Arabidopsis thaliana: one gene and its partners. The protein of the gene in region 1 interacts with the protein of each later gene in a pairwise test. Each region holds a gene or a part of one and is shown in the gene's direction. Other genes may lie near its edges.

Region 1 (8,688 bases):
TAATATTGATTTATGATTTTTTATAGGAAAAGATAGACGACCACCCACCACGCCACGTGGAAAAGGGCATCAAGTGGCGTAGACGTAGGCTACTTTGTTCATATACAACTCGACACGTGTCTAATAATCAACGTGCTCAACTACGACAGTCCCTTTATTGCCACGTGTATCCAGCCTGACTGGGCCCCCGACACGGCAAACCAAAGAAATACGTTAGACATTTTTTTTATCTAAACATTTCTACGCGCCTTTTCTTGTGGCCTAATTAACTTCAAGTTCTAACAACAATACTAATAAGAGTTCAATATTGGTTATTAAGAATGTGCTAGTTTCTAATCCTTTGTGGTAATTTCATTTCGGTAAATTGTTGTTACATAATTTTTTGAAATTCATGCAGCAGAATAATAGTAATAATAAGGTGGAGAGGAAAGAATGAATGAATGGGAGGATCTCCTAAAGAGACGCAAACAATCAAAGAGGAGATCGAGAAGTGGGACACGCATAGTGGCCAACTTGTACTATTTCTTTCTTTTTTTGTATGTTTGAAGAAATGTTTTGTTTCAAATCTATTTTACCCTAAAAAGGTGATAAGATTAGTGACACGTTTCGCTTCTAGAATACACCACGTACCACTTTATTCATTGCTTCACGACAACATGTAGCCAAGTTGCTGTGTGACATGATCACATTTAAGGATTTAGTCAACCGGGCTTCAGTTTTGTGGTTTACCTATTTTTGCTTCTATAACTAAACTTACAAAAACTTCTCTACAAAAGAGCTACAGAAAGCATCTGAACTTTGATCCATTGGGCTTTTCTTTCATCACAGTTGGCCCATACACATTTCTTTTGTTGGCCCAAGATTGTGATCCAGGATAGTAATACTAAATTAAATTCACATAGCTTTTAAAATTTATAAACAAAGATATGGTTGTAAAAAGTAATGTTTTGCTTACTGCCTATGGGGCCATCTAACACATATGTGTTGGGTTACCATCTCTAGTAGTATCTACCATATGGACTGAGCATAGGGATTGGTGTTTGGGATAGGAACAGTGCATAATAAAGGTGTAGTGTATAAGACAACAGATAGACTGATAGAGTAGTAAATTTTGTATCTCTGATTTTTCTAGTTATTGTAAGTCTTGTTCAAATTTTTACATTTTTCATATTTTAACGTGTCACTTTCCCCAAAGAAAGAAATACCAACAATTGCACTAAACTCCAATTCTATAGATATCGTACGCATGCATTTGCTGCCCAACAGTTTTTATATAGAAATCTTAATAAATTTATTTATGATTCATATTGCAGTTAATTAGTGTTGTGTATTCAACCATGTTATAATTTCTGGAAGTGAAAATTTTGCTGGGCTGTTTCTGCTTTGTTGGGTATTGAAATGATAAGAGTAATTAAAAATGTAACTATTGGGGATAATACAAGAGACGGTTAAATTGAGAGAGAAAAAGTGATAGGAAAATTAGGGGGACCATCGAGTGAATAACTCTCTTTCTCTTCTGTTTTCTTCAGTTTCTCTCTCGAGATGCCCAACCTCTTCACTCTTCATCTAGTACTCTTTAGCGAGTATATATAACAATCACATAATAAATACTTACTCTAAGTCTTAAATTTTATATATAGTTACTTTGTTTACATATAACGGACGTTCCTAGCTGTATAATTCACAATTAATAACTTACACACTAAAAAGTTGAACCTACGAAATTTTCTTAACGTAAATTTTAAAATCATTTGGCTAATTAACTAGTATATCAGATAAACTTACACATTTTCTAATGGAAATTAAATATTCTTAGTAACGCATAGTCATACTTGCGCGTTCTTCTTAATTAGTCTTTCAGAAAAAGTGTCAATATATCTTCTGGAATATTTAATATATAGTCGTATATATGACTATCGAATCTCAGAAATGTGGCTATCAATCTATCTATATGTGTATATATATATAAACGTGTTTGTAATTTTGATAAAGATCTGAAACTCAAGTGGAAGAAACTGAATTGTATACGTCTCGAAATGGCATGCGTACCCACGGTACTGTATATGTGTAGATCATTATTTGAATATCCACGTCAACCGAAATTAATGATTTGGTGTTCTATTTGCAATATTCACGTAAGCTCACGTAATTCATACGTTTTTGTTTGTCTTGCTAACTTTAGCTTCATCTCATTTATATACGCTGATATTGATTGCTATTTATCAAATATGGAGAAATGTGTTTAACTTTTAACATGATTTTTAGGATATTATTGTCGTTGATATATATATCCTTCACATCATTAATTATTATTATGGATGTGAAAATACTATAGAAAAGCTATTAAAACCCCAATCTTTGTTCATGAGACAACAAAATTCTGGAGTCGGTGAAGTAGACATGACTTAATGGATTCTAAGTTTGTCCGATTTCTCCTTTGTTCCCATGTGATGTCTTAAGATAAAATGATCATCATCACACTTTCTTTTTCTCTTACTCCTTTGTTTCGATTCATAAGGATATATTGCTTTCGTCCACTTCTAATATTCTTATATCACTTTATTTAAAAGACAATGTACAATTTAATAAAATTAATAATTTGATGAATGTTATTGATTCATATAGATATTTAAAATGTATTTGAAAAAGGGGTACAAATCTTATTGTGAATGGATAATTAATTAAGTTGCATACTTCAAAAGACAATCATGTGGATACTTTTTTATTATTAGTTTTATGGATTTGAAATTCTGAAAAATACTCGTCTCAATTATTCTTAGAACATTAAGTTTGACCTAAAAGAATGGTTTGACTAGTAATATGGGAATTATATAGGTGCCCCTTTTCACAGATGATGCATCCGAATAACAAAATCATATTACTTCTTATATCCTACCGTCCATATTAATTATATTAGATTACACATTTAAATATAATATATACATCATTAGATCTAATATAGAAAATCTTATTAAAAAAAAATCCTTATATAAAGAAAAATCACAAGGTTAACACAACCTTATCGATAAATAAAGATGTTAAAACTGATTTTTATATATGAAGCAAAAGTAAATTAGGGCTTAGTGATGTCTAGTTAAAGTACTTGTGTTTTGAAAAGGTAATGAGTCATGACTCAACAAGGTACACAAGGCGTGCATCGGGTAAACCACAACCTTTTGTAATTGTCGATATAACAGCATGCCAATATTCACATGGACCATATACTGTGTGTATATTATATATTACCATATATGTGAGTTACATTTCATATTGTAGAACCAAGGACTAAATTTAAACATAATGTACCATATTCTTTTAATTAGATTATTCATAAGATATCCAATTTAAAAGATGAGTTAAAATGATCAAGAAAACGCTACGCTGAACTCTAAAGTCTAATCTTTATCATTTATAGAAGTGTTATGAAACAAATCAATACCTGGTTAATAATTGATGTAGTTTCATTTTTTTTTTTAAGAAAAGAAAGTGATGAAGTGTTTAACTAGTCATAATATTATAGATCCAACTTCATTTCAATATATCACGAGTGCATTGGCGGCTGCAAAACATATTTTTGAAAAGAGCAAAAAAAAAAATCAAGGATCATAAATAATATAGGTCTTGGCTTTTTAATTCTACCAATAGATTTACAGTGGACAATTAAAGAAAAAAAATCACGAAATTATCATGGTTTGGCTAATTGAGATAAAATTCATACGTTTTCCATCAATAATCGTACATCATCCATTTCACAACAATAATTATTCCTAAAATGTCGTTATTTTCATAACATTGGTTAGATGTTCTAATAAGCTACTATTATATATAACTTCACGTCAATGTATGTTTGATTTTGGCATCTAAAATTTCTGTAAAATTTAGATATTCGCGTATACTTTTTTTGGGATTTTCTTCTTAGCCGTATTATAACTGCAACTCATATCACATACGTGGATGATAAAATATTCGAGTTTAATATCTCCTCCGTATGTAGATTTGATATGATCCATAATATTAAAGATGAAAATGAACTTGACTGATTATTCAGCGCATTCATTTTATTTTCCCTTCGAGGATAGCGAAATCCGCCACGTGGCATTACTACATCCATTGCTTTTTTTAACATAAATACTTAAGTCGCAATTCTTCTAAATTTTGGAGGCTTATGATATTGGTAGGGTTCTCATATTCACTTCCAAAAGCATCTTCTTCTTTCTAATTTTCTTTTTCTTTTTATCTTATTTTCATTTTATTCATATACTTTTTGAAAAGAAAAGTCGAATCACATACTTTCTTCTCTCTATTTCTCATTCTCTCTTCTTCATCATATTACTCATTTTATAGAACAGCAAAACCCTAGATTTCCTGTTCAAGCTCAAGACCGTACAAAACTTTGGAACTCATGTAAGAAACAGTACACGTTTTTTTTTTTGTTTCTTCTTCAGTCCGGATTATAAGAATTTTGTCGATTGAAGAAAACAGGCTAAATTAAACCCTAATTTTCTCTCTTAGACAATTCCTACTTTCTCTCCATTTTTCTGGATTCGCTCTCGTTTTAAAAGGATTCAGAAATTAACTATATTATTTGAATTCTTTTGCCATAATTCCCTTATGTTTTCTGCTAATGGATATACATTTGGTCTTCTTTCTGTATTAGATATAAAGATCTCGAGAATAGCATTATGAATATCGTCTCTTGGAAAGATGCAAACGACGAAGTTGCAGGCGGCGCTACGACAAGACGTGAAAGAGAAGTAAAAGAGGATCAAGAAGAAACCGAAGTCAGAGCCACCAGTGGCAAAACCGTAATTAAAAAGCAGCCTACATCGATCTCTTCTTCTTCTTCTTCGTGGATGAAATCCAAGGATCCGAGGATTGTTAGGGTTTCACGCGCCTTTGGAGGCAAAGACCGTCACAGCAAAGTGTGTACGTTACGTGGACTACGTGACAGACGCGTGAGATTATCAGTCCCAACGGCTATTCAGCTCTACGATCTTCAAGAACGGCTCGGTGTTGACCAGCCTAGCAAAGCCGTTGACTGGTTGCTTGATGCAGCTAAAGAGGAGATCGACGAGCTACCTCCGTTACCTATCTCGCCGGAAAATTTCAGCATCTTCAACCATCATCAGTCCTTCTTGAATCTTGGTCAACGGCCCGGTCAAGATCCGACCCAACTCGGGTTTAAAATCAATGGATGTGTACAAAAGTCTACTACTACTAGCCGCGAAGAAAACGATAGAGAGAAAGGAGAAAACGATGTCGTTTACACAAACAATCATCATGTTGGGTCTTATGGAACTTATCACAACCTGGAACATCATCATCATCATCACCAACATTTGAGTTTACAGGCAGATTATCATAGTCATCAACTACATAGTCTTGTCCCATTTCCATCACAAATTTTGGTATGTCCAATGACGACATCACCAACAACTACAACTATACAATCTTTGTTTCCATCATCATCGTCAGCTGGTTCAGGGACTATGGAGACATTAGATCCGAGGCAAATGGTAAGCCATTTTCAAATGCCATTAATGGGTAATTCTTCATCTTCGTCTTCCCAAAACATTTCGACATTATATTCGTTGTTACATGGTAGTAGTAGCAACAATGGTGGTAGAGACATTGATAATCGGATGTCGTCGGTCCAATTCAACCGAACTAATAGCACTACAACGGCTAACATGTCGAGGCATCTAGGCTCGGAGCGTTGTACAAGTAGAGGAAGTGATCACCATATGTGAAGTTAGATTATTGAAACGATATAATTGTTGTTTGATGTGTTCAGAAATAAGGGGACACAAAACAAAATATAAGGTAATTACTATTGTACTATGTTTTGCTGATATATTTTTTAATAGACAAATTAATGTTATAAATTGATTTATTAATTTACTATTAGCATGTGTTTTGAAACTTTCTCATGTATATATATATATATAGCTTCCTCATAGGATCTGAATACACACAAACATACATGAAATGTATTATAAGTATCTGATAGTAATGTATGCACTTTGAGATGAGAAGCTAAATTACATTCAGATTCATCAAATATTTAGCAAAAAAAAAAATCAGATTCATCAATAGGTAACGTAATAATATGAAATTGAATCTAATAATTTATACTGATCTGTTATCGAGGTATTATGTTTCTATTGGATGCACGGTACAATGCAACTATAGAACTCAATGTGACCGTAGCTAGATAGATTATTAGATGATGATATAAGTGGAGATTCCACAAAACCCAAACAAACCTAACATTACTATGTCATGTGAAGCAGATATATATTGAACCCATTATCAAATAGAAATTCATCATGAATGGTTATTATACATACAAGTGCCCATTTTAAAATCTTATTAGCATAGTAAGTAAACTATCAAGATGCAAAGAAGCCATTCCCATATAAAAATTAAGATGTGTAGCTAGGCTAAATGGTCTCGATAATAATGTGTAGTAGTGAATAGTGATCACATGCATGTTCACCAATGAAAGAGTTAGGCTAAAATGCAAATTACATATGTACATGCTATGTTAATATTTATAGTAGGAGGTAAAAAAGGAAGAATTAATAAATGAAGAAAGAAGAAAAATTAGTTAAATTATTATAGGGGTGATAGAGACAAAAGCTTCTAAATAATGTTGTGTGTACGATCTTTGATTGATTTGAGTAAAAGGCTACCGATCCAATGCTCTGTGACTCTGTCGTATATCATCATACTTTCTGCAAAAAGCTTCCATGTCGATCTCTAGCTATCATACTACATGCATATATATATATATTAATTCGAATTATCTGGTTTTACGTTCCAACCTCACAAAAATTGATAGCAAACTAAACTACGGAGGACAATAAATGACGAAATTTGAATTTATTAAGTCGCACTAAAAATTAAAAACATACTGTATCAAACAAGATTTGGTTTTGAACTTTTGATATGTTTTGTAACGTCTTTTTATTGTTGGGCCAACCACTAAGACCCATTAGTTTGAAATTCTGTTTGATAACCTGAAAGCCCATCAACGCAAATAATTGTATCCTTTCTAATTATTACATCATCGCTGTAATAATCTTAATCTTACTATATATGAAAATAAATAATTCTTTTTATAATAAAGATTAATTTAATTTCCTTAAAAATGAAAAAAATAGTAATTGCCTTTAATTTTCTTTAAAAAAACTCAGTAGTTCCTCTCTATAAAGTTAACGAAAATCTCAAACTTGGAAAATCTCCCACCCTTCTTTTTCTTCGCCTTCTCAAATTGGATCGAAAGTTTTAAACTTGGAGCTGGGTTTTTGATTCGCATGCGAAATTTCCTCAATTTCGTTTGTTGGTGCTTTCAATTTCACTTCTTCGCTAGCATTTTCTCTCACTGTGTTCGCCGCCGATAGCTGCCCAAGTTGTGTCTGTTCTTCTTCCCCGGTGAATTTTCAGTGGATAAAGCTTTTTCTCCGGTAAAGCATTTTACTTCTCTTAATTGGATTCGTTAACTCTCGCTCTCGAGTTTGCTTTGTTGCTTTCTACTGCTTTAAATTGAACCCGAAACGTCTATTCTTAGTGACCGGAACAAAATTGATCTTTCATTAAGTTCAATTCTTCGTTTTTTAGTCACTTTTGGGTTTAGTATAAAATTGATTCTGATGTTTTATTCTCTCTTATTTGTTCTTAGGTGCCTAAGAGAAGACTTTCGAGGGAAAGATATTGGCTTTTGTTTTGTGTTCTGAGAGGGATACGTGTTGTGTTGGTTTTTCACTCAAGAGATGGTTCTACATGTTATGTTGGGTGAAGTTGTAACAAAGTTTTTGAATATGAACAATGGAGTTGGGGAAGGTGGAAGTCAGCAAAGAGAATTACATGGTAAGAGAAAGCTTTTCCGAGGCAATGATTTCGCTTTTTCCATAGCGAGAATGGCAGTGGCTCAGATATGCGAGAGTGTTGAGGTTAACCCGTATCAGGAATCACAGACACGTGAGGGTGTGAGGTTTAGTTCTTTTCAAGAATCTGCTCTTGATACACTAACTGATGTTGCGGTTCAGTATATTCAGAGCATTGGGAAGACTGCTCATTTGTATGCTAACTTAGCCGGTAGAGTAGATGGTAATTCTCTGGACATTCTTCAAGCATTAGAGGATTTGGGATCTGGTTTGGGTTTTGCTGGTGTTTCTGATACTGACCATTGTCTTGCTGATTCCGGTGTAGTCAAGGATATCATTCGTTATACTGGAGAAGCAGAGGAGATACCGTTTGTTTACTCTCTTCCTCGTTTCCCATTTAGTAAAGAGAAAAAACCTGCTCCTAGTTTCTCTGAGGTTGGAGCAGAACCTCCAGATGAACACATTCCTGTTTGGCTTCCTGCATTTCCCGAAACCGAATTGTGTGATCGATCAGAGGAAACTAATGCAGCCACAATCGAAGGAGAAATTCCTAGTAAAGAAAATGGTTCATCTTTACCGAGTATGCAACTTTCTTTCGATGGTGGTGGTAGGTTAGAAATACATAAATCTTCAAAGGATGTTGGAGAATCAACAGAAGCAGTAGTCGAAGGTAACCTGTTTCTAACTGCGCCTCTTCGATTTGTGGAGAAAAATGTGTCACCTGTGGTCCGCCCTTTGGAGCTTTCAAATGAAGTTGTTAGGACCAACCACGTTCCTGATAAGCATGTGAGGAACAACC
Region 2 (5,557 bases), on another chromosome or scaffold:
CACGCCTTCCATTTCCATCTGTGATTAACATATGCAAAAAGCATTTAGGAATCTAGTGTTTTGCAGGCTCTATTTACGGATTCTCACATAATTTGACTTGAATAAGATACTTAACACTAGGACCATATCTTGTTTCACATTTTCACTATCTATTCGAAAGGGAACTGGGAAAACAATAAGCAGATGCTTTGCAAGATAAAGAGTCTTATTCTGAGCACTACAATTCTAAGTAAAGCAACTTAAGACTCGCATTCATGGTACTTTTAGTTCACCATTTGTCCACAGTATAGTGCGAAATCATGAAACCAGGAATAAGATCAAGTAAATTTGGTAGAAAGTTGAAAAAAACATACAATTCGTTGGCGCAGCTTGAGGATAAGCTCCCAATGAGCCAGTACCGTAATCCACGAGCTGCCTTTGTGCTTCGAGTTCCTTCTGAACTAATTTCCCATAACCACCTCTAGGTAATCAATGAGTTAAGGAAAAAACACATGGATTGGCGGGAAATTCATAACCGAGAAATCAATCTTTCCTACCACAAAACAGGTATACTAAACAAGAACAACAGAGTGCATAACTATGCGGACTAAAAGGATATCAGGATCGTAATCTGTACGGTATTCATCACGAACCTGTATGAAATTAGAAAACCATGATGACCTTTTAATTGTAAAGAAACGGTCAGGGAATTACAGAGAGGATGATGCATCTGATGAATACCTGGCCACCGCTTCTACCACGGCCCCATTGTCTTCCTTCTTGGAATCCCCAATCAAAATCCACACGAATAGGCCGGTCATCGAGAATAGTCCCACTTATATACTTGACTGCATCTTCAGTATCCTCTCTAGAGTAGAACCTGATAAAAACAAGACACAAAACCAAAACTCAGCAACCACCATAATGAAACTTACATATAAAACTGTTGAAGATGAAAGCTTACAGGACGAAACAAAAGCCACAAGGTGTTTTAGTGTTCTTATCCAAACCCATGATGATCTTTTTGATTTCTCCAGCTCTAGAGAAAAGCTCGTAAAGCTGTTCTTCAGTAGTGTAAAAAGACACATTGCCAATGTAAACCGTTGTAGATGCTCTTAGCGCTTCATCAAACTCCTCTTGTGTTCCTGAAAATCTTCTATCACGATAAGCTGATAGCTTTGCTTGCTCCTGACAATCAAAAACCCCAAACATGAAATCGTGAGACCAAACCCTAGACAACAACTTCAAAAATCAATTAGAATCGCTTCAGACCCATCAGATTCCAGACAACCCGGATACTAAATTCACTAAAAACATTAACGAATCTCGATTTTCTATGCTAGAAAAAGCAAAACCCAGAAATGGTTTCCGATAAAAATCTAAACTTTATGTACCTTGAACAAAGAAGCCATCGCTTCACGGTGAGAAGAAGTGAATCTGCGATGATGAGAGAGGAGGATAGCTTAAATTAGGTCTATGCGGGGTGAAAGAAGAAGAAGATGAGCGAGAAATCGAGAAGGAGAGACACTTACACTCGTCTTCTTCAAAAAGGGAACCCTAATTTCTAAAGCAGAAGCAGAACTGATAGAAGAAGGCAAGGACACTCCGGCGACTCTCGAGTATCCGGTTTCATGGCCCACCTTACGAAACCTTACAAAGTTACAATTAATTCACAAATATTATTGTTGGTATTAATTTAATATTAAAACAAATAAAAAACCCAAATTTTTTGCATCTAAAATGTTCAATCAAATAACAATTCCGGTTTGGTTTCGGTTCAATTATTTCGGTTTCGCTTTATTTGTTTAAACCATAAAACCAATTTGTAATTCAATTTAGTTAGGTCTCGACATAATAATCGAACCCTACGAACCAACCCAAACCCGACCGAAAACCCTGATCCAAATCCAAAAATTTCAAATATTCAACGGGTCCTAAACTTCAAAACCCGAAAAACTCTAACCCAAACCCGATCTGAACAAATATCCAAACATACCTCAAATATTTGATATATTATTTATATTCATACTTAAATACAGAAAATATTTGGATATTTGGATATTTTAGTTATTTTGTGTATTTTAGGTTACTTTGGATATATTAAAGTAAAACTATTCGTGTTGTTTTGAGAGTTTTTGAAATTTTCAAGTAATTTGATAAATTTACATACAAAATTTTGATATTTTAATATTTAAATAAACCTGAACTCGAACGGTTTAAAATTTTAAAATACCCGAACGGGTCTTAAACTTCTAAATCTGAAATACACAAACTCGAAATATTCGATCCGAATACTGAACGCCCTTTAGTTTTAATTTGGTTTAAATGATATTCCGGTTTGGTTTGTTGTGGTTGTTGGTTTTAATTTCACAGTTCAGCATTAGCAAACCTTAAATTTTATATTTTTAAACATCCTTTATTTCTAATTTCTAGATTTTTGCCTATGAAGATATCTTCAAAGTAATGTTTTAAGAAAATACCTCTTTAAGGACAAGAAAATCATATAAGGAACTTTGCTGAGGAGACATAGAAATAGTTATTTCTCGTTGTTGTAAGCGGTGGTTTAGGTGACTCATTTTCGAAGTTAAAGCTCTCGTTAAATCTGTGTTGAAGCTTCATAATCTACTATGGTGTTCCCTCCAGATCACTTTTTATTACTCCAATACTCATTTTTGAGAGATTCACTGAAGATACTCTAACATACATACGTGTATCTGTAACGTAACGGGATTCAAATACCATTTTTTCTCTTTTTTTGTGTTATGTTGTAGGATCAAAAAAATTGTGACTTTTGTGTGGATTAACATTTGACAATAACGTTAGACGTATCCATTATTCATGTGTTAAAGTAAAATACTTATTCAATAAAAGTTAATATAATTCTAAATTTGTTTTATTTATCGAGTTAAATGAGTTAACTATAACATATATTACATATATGAAATCCTCTACAGCTGTTACACAACAATGTTCATCAATATCCAATGCTGCTATTCTTCTGAAATCTGGACATCAATCGCAAAGAATGTGTACAAAGATAGATTTTCCACAAAATGGTCTGCTGTGGTGAATTACATATCTGATTCTCAGCCTGATCGCATCCAAAGTTTCTTATCCAGGTACACATTCCAAGTCTCTATTCATTCCATTTGGAGGGAGAGAAATTCTCGTCGTCACGGAGAGAAGTCACGTTCAGCTTCAAACCTCATCCGACAGATAGACAAGACTATTAGAAACCAGCTATCGACAATCAAAAAGAAAGGGGATCTTCGACTCGAGAAGGGGCTGCAAGTATGGTTTGACATGCGTCCATAGCATCCTCTAAGAAAGAAGACTCTGTTTTTGCTCTCTCAATTCTATTTACTCTGTTTTTGATCTAGCTCTATTTCTCTTATTATCAAAATATCAAAAAAGCTGATGTAAAAAGTATATTTTTTCTTTTAAATATAATTTGACATTTTATTCAAAAAAAAAAAAAAACAATGTTCATCAATAAAGTTGATTGTTGTTGATTTCTTAAAACAGGAAATCAACGAAATCTCCCAAAGTAAATAAAATTGTGTATCAACCTGTATGCCATGTATCTAAATAACAAATCAAAATCTTTTAGCAATAGATTCAAAAAAAAAGAAAAAACTTTTTGCAATATGATATGTCATATAATGATAATTAAGTTGATACAAATTGGATTCTTAAAATAAACTGGATTCTTAAGCTGCTAACCATTTATTAAAAAAAGATATTGACACATTTACCTACTCACATATTATCAAACCATATATCTAAATCACCTACTACATATTTCATTCGAAACATTGTACATAAATATATCTCTATACAAAATTTAAATGACAACATTGTCAACATAGAAGTATAGAACCGTGGCTATTAGCTATTCATATTGGGCCGACAAAAAAAAAAAAAAAAGGCTATTCATATTGGTGGGTACTAAAATAAGGCTTGGAAATTCATATTAATGTAAAACTCATTTAATCGTTAGAGAGCGTGGTAGTCATGTAGATTAATGAAGGAGCGTGAGATCAAGCAATCAAATTACGCAAAGTCACGCCGCAGTAACGGGACGTTAAGGCAAAAAGCCGTCACAAAAACATTAAAACCTCTCACATTGTCTGTTTTTTGGGCGGCGCTTTTCAGTCAAACCCTCGTTGACCGTCTCTTTCTCTTTCTCTAAACCAAAAACCTTTTCCTTTATAAATTAAACCAAAAACAACGTCACTTCTCTATCTAAACGAGAATATATCTCTTCTTTTATAAGCAATGGCTCCAAGACAGGCGAACGGTAGAAGCATTGCCGTGAGTGAAGGCGGCGGAGGGAAGACGATGACGATGACGACGATGCGGAAGGAAGTGCACTTTAGAGGTGTGAGGAAGCGTCCATGGGGTAGATACGCGGCGGAGATCCGTGACCCGGGAAAGAAAACCCGGGTTTGGCTCGGGACATTCGACACGGCGGAGGAAGCTGCAAGAGCTTACGACACCGCCGCTAGAGAGTTTCGTGGCTCCAAAGCAAAGACTAATTTCCCTCTTCCCGGAGAGTCTACTACGGTTAACGACGGTGGCGAGAACGATTCTTACGTCAACCGTACGACGGTGACGACGGCGCGTGAGATGACGCGTCAGAGATTTCCGTTTGCATGTCACCGGGAGCGTAAAGTCGTCGGTGGTTATGCTTCTGCTGGTTTTTTCTTCGATCCGTCAAGAGCTGCTTCGTTAAGAGCAGAGCTTTCTCGGGTTTGTCCGGTTCGGTTTGATCCGGTTAATATCGAGTTGAGTATTGGTATTCGAGAAACCGTAAAAGTTGAACCGAGAAGAGAACTAAACCTGGATCTTAACCTAGCTCCACCGGTGGTGGACGTTTAGATTTTTTTCTTCTTTTCATAATTTGTATTTTACATTGCCGGAAAATAATTAATGTTTTCTTTAGTAGATGAGAAAAAGAAAAATCTCCTATGTTTTTGGCTAAGTAAGAGGAATTTTTTTTCAGAAATCTCCTATGGTTCCCTAATTACGTGGATGTAATTAATTACTAATCAAATATCTCCTTTTGATATTTTTTTTCTACTTTTGATGTTTTTTCTTAAATGTCTTAAAATGACATGATGGTTGGTTGATGTATCAAATAGGTAGTAGATATCACTCCATTAAATGGATGTGGAATATGAAACCAAGAAACATCGAACATTTAGATGGTCTGTCAACATCAAACAATTTAGTATAGGAGAGTACCCAAAAATAAAAATAAAAAAATCGGATGATCATGACACAAAAAAGTAGTTATCGTTTTCATTAGTTTTCTCATTATATTGAATTATGGTTTCATGGTTTGGTTTATAAATTAGACATGTAAAATTCTTTTTTCATCTATGAATTGTGTAGGAAGAAAATTAAATTCAAAAGTAAAAAAACTGTAGTGAGTTATGAGTTTTTTTTTAAAATGTATTTGAAAAGTAGAGTGGTAGCATCATGAGTCCAATCTTCGAGTTTCGTGTAGATGGGGATGATGGCATGAGTGTCAGGTGGGAGGCACGTGTGCTTTAGCCGTCCATAATCTGTTTTG
Region 3 (6,668 bases), on another chromosome or scaffold:
TGGTCAAACAACTTTAAACGAACATTTTATCAATCACTTGTATTTAGGTTTAAGTATAAATCCTCAAATTTTGATCACAGTGACTTTGCATCGGTTGATTTTTATTACCCTCACACTAAAAATGAATTGTTACAAATTTTGTCTGCTTGAATCGTTTTCGACAAATTTTATTGGTATTGAATCCAAACATAAGTTAAAAAGCCTGGAACTTAAAAGAATTTTAAACACAGCGTATATATAATAGATATAATCATTGAGAAGATTGTCGGGAAAATACTGTTAGTGAGGAGAATGATTGACTACCATATAAAAAGATACTAGTACTATATAGGAGAGAGAGAGAGAGGAGATGCAGCGAGAAGAAAGGTGAGCACAAGGCTCGAGAGTGAAAGACAACAACTAAATAATAATTGGACTATTGGAGCTAATCCTTATTCTTGATTTTTCCCCTACGATGACCTTTGCTCCTCACTCTCTGTCTGACTTGTGGGAGGTGACAAAATCTAGTAATAGAAAGAATCATAATTATAACAACCGAGAACACCTCGGCTAAAAAAGGAAAAAAAAATAGATCACCTCTGATAACCATGCCAATGAACACCAATGCCCACAATCTGATATTAAATAGTATTTCGTCATTGTGATCTATGGCTGAATAATGCTGGGCATTGCTTCGGCATTAGCTAAACCTTTATTGGCTTTACTGTGAATTGAAGCTAACTCTCGGAAAAATATACACATTTTTATAAATTAAAAAAGAAACATTAGATGTATCCTTTAAAATGGAATGATAGTGTTTGTGGTGTTTTTAGAAAAAAAATAAGAGTGTTGGATGACAATGTTAATCATTTGAACATGTTGGATAACTTCATTGCCTACGCATGACTACAATAGCATTTTTTGTTGTTTGTAAATTGAGTTAAAATAACATAAATTAAGATAATAAGATATAATTGGGAAACATGCATCTATATCAAACGTGAATTAGCTATGCCTGTCTCCTTAGAGAAATATCAACCGCCAAAAAGTAAATCAGTGGTAGCTATTAACCCCGTCAAAATGTCAAAAAATGAAAAGGAAAAAAAACTTAATAATGTTAGCCAAAGGAAAACTAAAGTAAAGAACAAAGACAAAAGGGACATTAGCCAACTAGTTTAATCATGAAGATCCCGATTCATCAAAGTTAGGAGTGTTAAGTAATTACATTTACAAATAAAGACAAAATAGTGATTTAGTCAACAAGAAATTCTAAAATACAAAAGACTCATGCCTCGGGCCCTTAAATAAGATCAAGTCCATTTTTTGGGTGGGTAACTAATACGTACGATCAACCTTTCTATAGATACACGCATATATAATTGTTGTTTACTAAAGCTTAACAAATTTAAGTCGTATTATGTTAAGAAAATTCTCCTTTTTTCTAGACACAGATGTTTGGGATGGGATTGGGCTTTCTTTTCTCTCTCTCTCTTTTTTTTTTTTTTCTTTTTTTCCTTTTTTTGATTGAACAGATTTTTGTTTTTGTTTTTATTTTTTGTCCTACAAACGCATTTCAATAATGATTTTTCTTTGACATCTAATATTGTCTGAAAACTATAAATTGTTTTCTTTTTGATATTTTTACGTATTGTTTCCGATGCATATCGTTTTTGATAACCATATTTTATGGAGCGAACCCAAATTAATGGTTGATGATATAGGTGATTGGCAAAGTGAACACAAAAACATGTAAAGACTTTGAAACAAATTGAATACTTTAAATTTAAATTCACATTTGAGTGATTTGAGAGAGTTAAAAATCTCTAAGAACTATTCCAAGAAAACTCACATTGCCTTCATTTTGTACGTTTGTTTCTCTAAATCCAATAAGTATGCCTTTTTTATAAAGCGACAAAAATACTTCACAGCCAAGATTTTAAAGTACTTGCTTGGTTCATAAAGAAGCATTTGCTCACCAAAAACAATTAAATACGCAAATCCTTACAACATGCATAACTCATTTTTTTTTTTTTTTTGTCAATCGCACATCTCATCTTCAAGGATTAGCTAGTAATATAGGTAAGAGACTTTATCTTGAGAAATTGGTTGTGTATTAATTGGCTCGTCGATACCGAAGATTTGATCAAATCTAGCTATGAGAATTGGAGAAGTAAAATCTTACTCTCGTGACCTGCTTATTATGAATATGCATGAGAAGTCGTCAACGATTGGCAATACAAGGTGGAATAGACTCGTAAATTTTGAAATAAATATAATTCACAAGTTAAATTTGAGATCATGCGATGGCAAAAATTAGGATATGAAAATTGGTAATCAGTTTTGAAGTAATGCGAGTGTTATTAAGAGTTTAAGGTATGTGGGTTGGTCGTCGATTACAAATATGAAATATCTTTAAATATTTTTCAAACTTTGAATAGACCATATACTTATATACTGTACATGCACAACATTTAGGATAAAGAAAAGGCGAACCATCAGAGATATAAACTTTAAAATTAAATACCAAATGCGCCTAATTATGATTATAAAATGCAAATTGCGCCGCTAATTCCCGCGATTCCACGTGATCAAAGAAACTAGAGTGGGTCTGCCTGCTTCGGCTCTAATGAGGGTACAAGGTATGACTGAATAAGTAAATCCTTTAGTGATTTAAATTTTAAATTCGCAGATTTATGTACGACCAATTACGTGATAGTATAAAATATTTAATTAGTTGGTATAATTAATAGTAGCTAGTTTAAGATAAACCACTAACGGTTTTTATGTACTCTTAACTATTCTCATGTTTATGCAATTATGTGTGTGTACATATTTATAGTTTTAATTTGTAAAACGAGCAAAATAAGCTAAATAACCCTCATATCCCGTTTAGTTATATATTTTTCCAAAATTTGAAACTATATAGTACTGTATTAACGTGAAAGCTAAGTTTTCTACTTCGATTGGAATAAGCTAAAAACCTTTAAAAAAAAAAAAAAAAAAAAAAAAAAAAAAAAGCTAAAAACCTGAATACAGAAATAATACATTATATTCATGTATTAGTTTGGGTAAAGATGGAAGACGATCACATCCCTTCGTCGGCTAATAATAATGACTCGTGACCTAGAACTAGACTAGGGATCGCTGTCCAGCAAAAATCCCTTAAAACAAACCACATAGTTTTTTTTTTGTTTTTTTTTCACACACCACATAGTTTTCTTATAGTTCATATTCAAAAAGTGTTTAAGTTTCTACGATCGCCCTCTTCATGTCGATTCAATGTTAATACCACGTATTTCTGATTAGACGAATAAATAACAAAATTATCAAAAAAGGAAAAATTAACGCACGAAGGCGTCGTTGAAAAAGTTATGTCATTGAAAGTCTAATCGCCGTGATTAAGCGGTAAACCTCACGATGAGACCGTCCGTGACGATAAAATGTCAAAGGAATGTGACGTTAGACTATCCTTTTCATTTTTTCTCAGATTTCATTTTTTTTTTCCTTTTTCTTTATTTCAGACTTTTATCTTTGCCTTTTTTGTTTTCTCAAACTTCCCATATATAATTTCATCACAAAATAGATAAACCGAAGTAAAAAGATAAACGGTGGGGAGGGTTTTGCGGGGGAGGGACGAGTGGAGAAAAACTCCCTGTTCTAACACGTGGCACTCTATTCACCATTGATAAAAATTAACACTATGAGCTTAAAAAGCGAGCTATTTTCTATTTTCTAGTTTAGTTTTAAAAGAAACAACATTTTCGCTAAGAAATTTCTTTTAATTAACACATCTTAAATTTTTAAAATCTACTAAAACGAAAACGAGTCATTATTAAATTCGATACGTTGGTTCGGCGTAATATATTTTATACTCCTTCATGCATATTGTTTTGAATCCTAAAACCATCGATTAGATATATAATTTGCATCTGTGGACAAAAAAATGACTTCCTACATAGTAAAGAAAACAACGCGTCATTTAATTTTTATCATCTTACATGTATTAATTAGATTGTAATAAGGGATTATGAAAATACCTATGAAAAATGTAGAGAATAAGCATATATACATATTAATGGAATGGAATGATTACTCTAACAAAATTACTTAAAAAATGTCACCTATCTATTTATCCATATTCCTTTTTTTTTCTTTTTTTTTCAACAATAGTTTGAGTGATATTTATGTGATGGGGATTCACTCAAACTGGAAGATAACTGTAGTGAAGTGCCCAAAGCAAAAGATCTTCATGGGACTCTCTATGTCTTAAAAACTTTTTTTCTCTCTCTCTCTCTCTTAATCCACCGAGTAAATCCAGCAAACTTCCACTTTCAGAGATCAAACTTGAGTTATCTTAAGTGATGAAGAAAGACTAATTCCATGGCGGCGTTTGCAGTTTCTTAAGCTTCCTCATCATCTACCGTCAATCTTTATAGCAAAGAAAAGGAAATCAAATCAAGATTTACCCTTTTCTTTGATTTCTCTTTGTGGTGTGTTGGGTGTGTGATGTTGATTACCACTGGGGAAAGAAATGGCAGGGTTCTTCTATCTAGGAGGGAGAGACAACAACAGCAACAACAACAAGCAAGATCATCATCAAGTAGACAAGGATCATCATCATCAAGACAAGAGCAATTATCTTTATCTTTACAAAGACGAGATCTATAATAACAACAAGGGTTTCGAGATTTGGCCTCCGCAATACTTCCAACAACAAGAACATCAACAACAACAACAACAGCAACAACATGCCTCAGCTCCTGCAAACTTCTACTCATTTGGAATGGTTCCTAGCGGAAGCAGCAGCAACAACAACAATAACCGTAGCCGGAGTTTATACTTCAACGTAGTCTCCGATCATGAGCCGGGAGGGTTCACGGTGACGAGACAAGGAGGTATGAATTGTCAAGATTGTGGAAATCAAGCTAAGAAAGATTGTCCTCATATGAGATGTAGAACTTGTTGTAAAAGCCGAGGCTTTCATTGTCAAACTCACGTTAAGAGCACTTGGGTTCCTGCTGCTAAACGTCGTGAGCGTTTAGCCCAACTCGCTTCCTTGCAGCACCACTCAGCCTCCAGCCGTGAAACGCAAAACGCCAAACGCCTTCGAGAAGCTAGTGGTGGTGATAATAATGATGATAAAGACCATAGTGGTGGTGGTGGATCGGCTCTTGCTAATACCCGTGTGGTGAATGCTAATTCTAATTCAGGTAAAATTCTTGATGATATTGAATTAGCTTTCAAGATTGATTAAATTTTCATGAAAAAGTGTCAAAGTTTTAATTATGAATGTTTGTGGAGAAGTACAACATCATTTGCGTGTGAATGAGGATGTCCGCCGGATATTGCTGCTTTATTTATACAAGTTACTGTTCCTTAGTAAACCTGACGACATAAAAGGATCTAACCAAGATCGATTTCATGTAAAAACAATGCAATAAAGATTCGTTTTTGTAGATATGAAATGGGAGCTACGCTTTATAATCAACAACATGTTATACTAAAAGGGGCTAAAAACAAATCTCATGTTTATATTTTGGTGATCTTATAATCATTAATAAAAAAATTAGGGTTGGAGGTGAGTCAACACTTACCACCGGAGGTTAACTCACCGGCGATATTCCGGTGCGTTAGAGTGAGCTCAATAGAAGAGGATGAAGATGATCAAGCATATGCTTACCAAACGGCTGTGAACATTGGAGGCCATATCTTCAAAGGCATTCTCTATGACCAAGGACCAGAACATCAAGATAATCATCACCTTAACCTACTTGCTTCCACTGCAACCACCACCAATGTGGAGGAGACCGCCACTAAGACTGTCACCGGTAACAATAATAATGGATTAATGCTTGATCCTTCTTCGCTTTACCCAGCTCAACTCAACTCCTTCATCGCGGGTACGCCATTCTTCACACCTCCGAGGTCTTGATCAGATTCTGATATCAGTTATTGATTATTGTTAATCTTTAAACGTTATAATAATAAGAGGATTTCTTTTGTTTTTGTTTTTGTTTTCGTTTATCTATTTTTGAAACTTCGTGCAATTTGGAAAAAACACCCTTACCTAGGTTGTTACTTAGTGGTGATTAACATGCATATTGTACGTACTTTTAAGAAAAGAAGATAGTGTTCATGTTTCAAAGATTAATCTTTTGCTTTATTTTTGTTCATTAGGATCGATCTCTGTGTTGCAATTTAAATGTGGTTTAGTTATAGTCTTATGATATTAATTAATATATAATATAACCCTCTTTTTATTGATTTACGACATATATAATTATATATAGTACTTTTCAAGGTCAAATCAAAAATACTTATTTTAGAAAAGAAAGAATAATAAAAATCTTTTGGTTTGATATTGAAATAGCTTTCTGGTTGGTGTTGAGCTCCAAGCTACCTTTTTCCCCGTTTATCCGTTTGCTTGCCGGATCTAAACATGACTTAACTAGGTTTCGTGTTCCACTGATCAAAGATTTGAAAAAAAACATATACTTAGTAAACTTCAAGCAATTTTTATATTACCCAATTGAATTTCTCCAGAGTGAAAGATGTTAAAATTAGTTCTCAATTGTAATATATATATACCCAACAACTGAGAAAAGATGGAAAAAGTTTAGTTAAAAACTGGTCCTGGGCGGCTTTAAATTATATTTATGCACTTAAATTTAGCTTGTTTATATCTTTCT

Evidence for each region. Proteins that work in one complex are often made in the same cells at the same time.
Region 2: the proteins of PTF1 (region 1) and ERF9 interact in binary tests that used the Arabidopsis thaliana proteins (3 or more experiments, as listed by UniProt).
Region 3: the proteins of PTF1 (region 1) and SRS5 interact in binary tests that used the Arabidopsis thaliana proteins (3 or more experiments, as listed by UniProt).

The regions. Positions count from the first base shown.
Region 1 is NC_003074.8:386,840-395,527, forward strand, and holds PTF1 (plastid transcription factor 1), read left to right. Parts: upstream 1-3,880; 5' UTR 3,881-4,404; intron 4,405-4,657; 5' UTR 4,658-4,682; coding exon 4,683-5,750; 3' UTR 5,751-5,928; downstream 5,929-8,688. Other genes in the region: AT3G02160 (Bromodomain transcription factor), read left to right, coding at 7,776-8,688. UniProt on the Arabidopsis thaliana protein: Plays a pivotal role in the control of morphogenesis of shoot organs by negatively regulating the expression of boundary-specific genes such as CUC genes, probably through the induction of miRNA (e.g. miR164).
Region 2 is NC_003076.8:17,802,485-17,808,041, forward strand, and holds ERF9 (erf domain protein 9), read left to right. Parts: upstream 1-3,912; 5' UTR 3,913-4,257; coding exon 4,258-4,860; 3' UTR 4,861-5,057; downstream 5,058-5,557. Other genes in the region: CBP20 (CAP-binding protein 20), read right to left, coding at 1-18, 354-464, 599-632, 721-859, 944-1,167, 1,374-1,391.
Region 3 is NC_003070.9:28,351,022-28,357,689, reverse strand, and holds SRS5 (SHI-related sequence 5), read left to right. Parts: upstream 1-4,140; 5' UTR 4,141-4,510; coding exon 4,511-5,189; intron 5,190-5,549; coding exon 5,550-5,911; 3' UTR 5,912-6,168; downstream 6,169-6,668. UniProt on the Arabidopsis thaliana protein: Transcription activator that binds DNA on 5'-ACTCTAC-3' and promotes auxin homeostasis-regulating gene expression (e.g. YUC genes), as well as genes affecting stamen development, cell expansion and timing of flowering.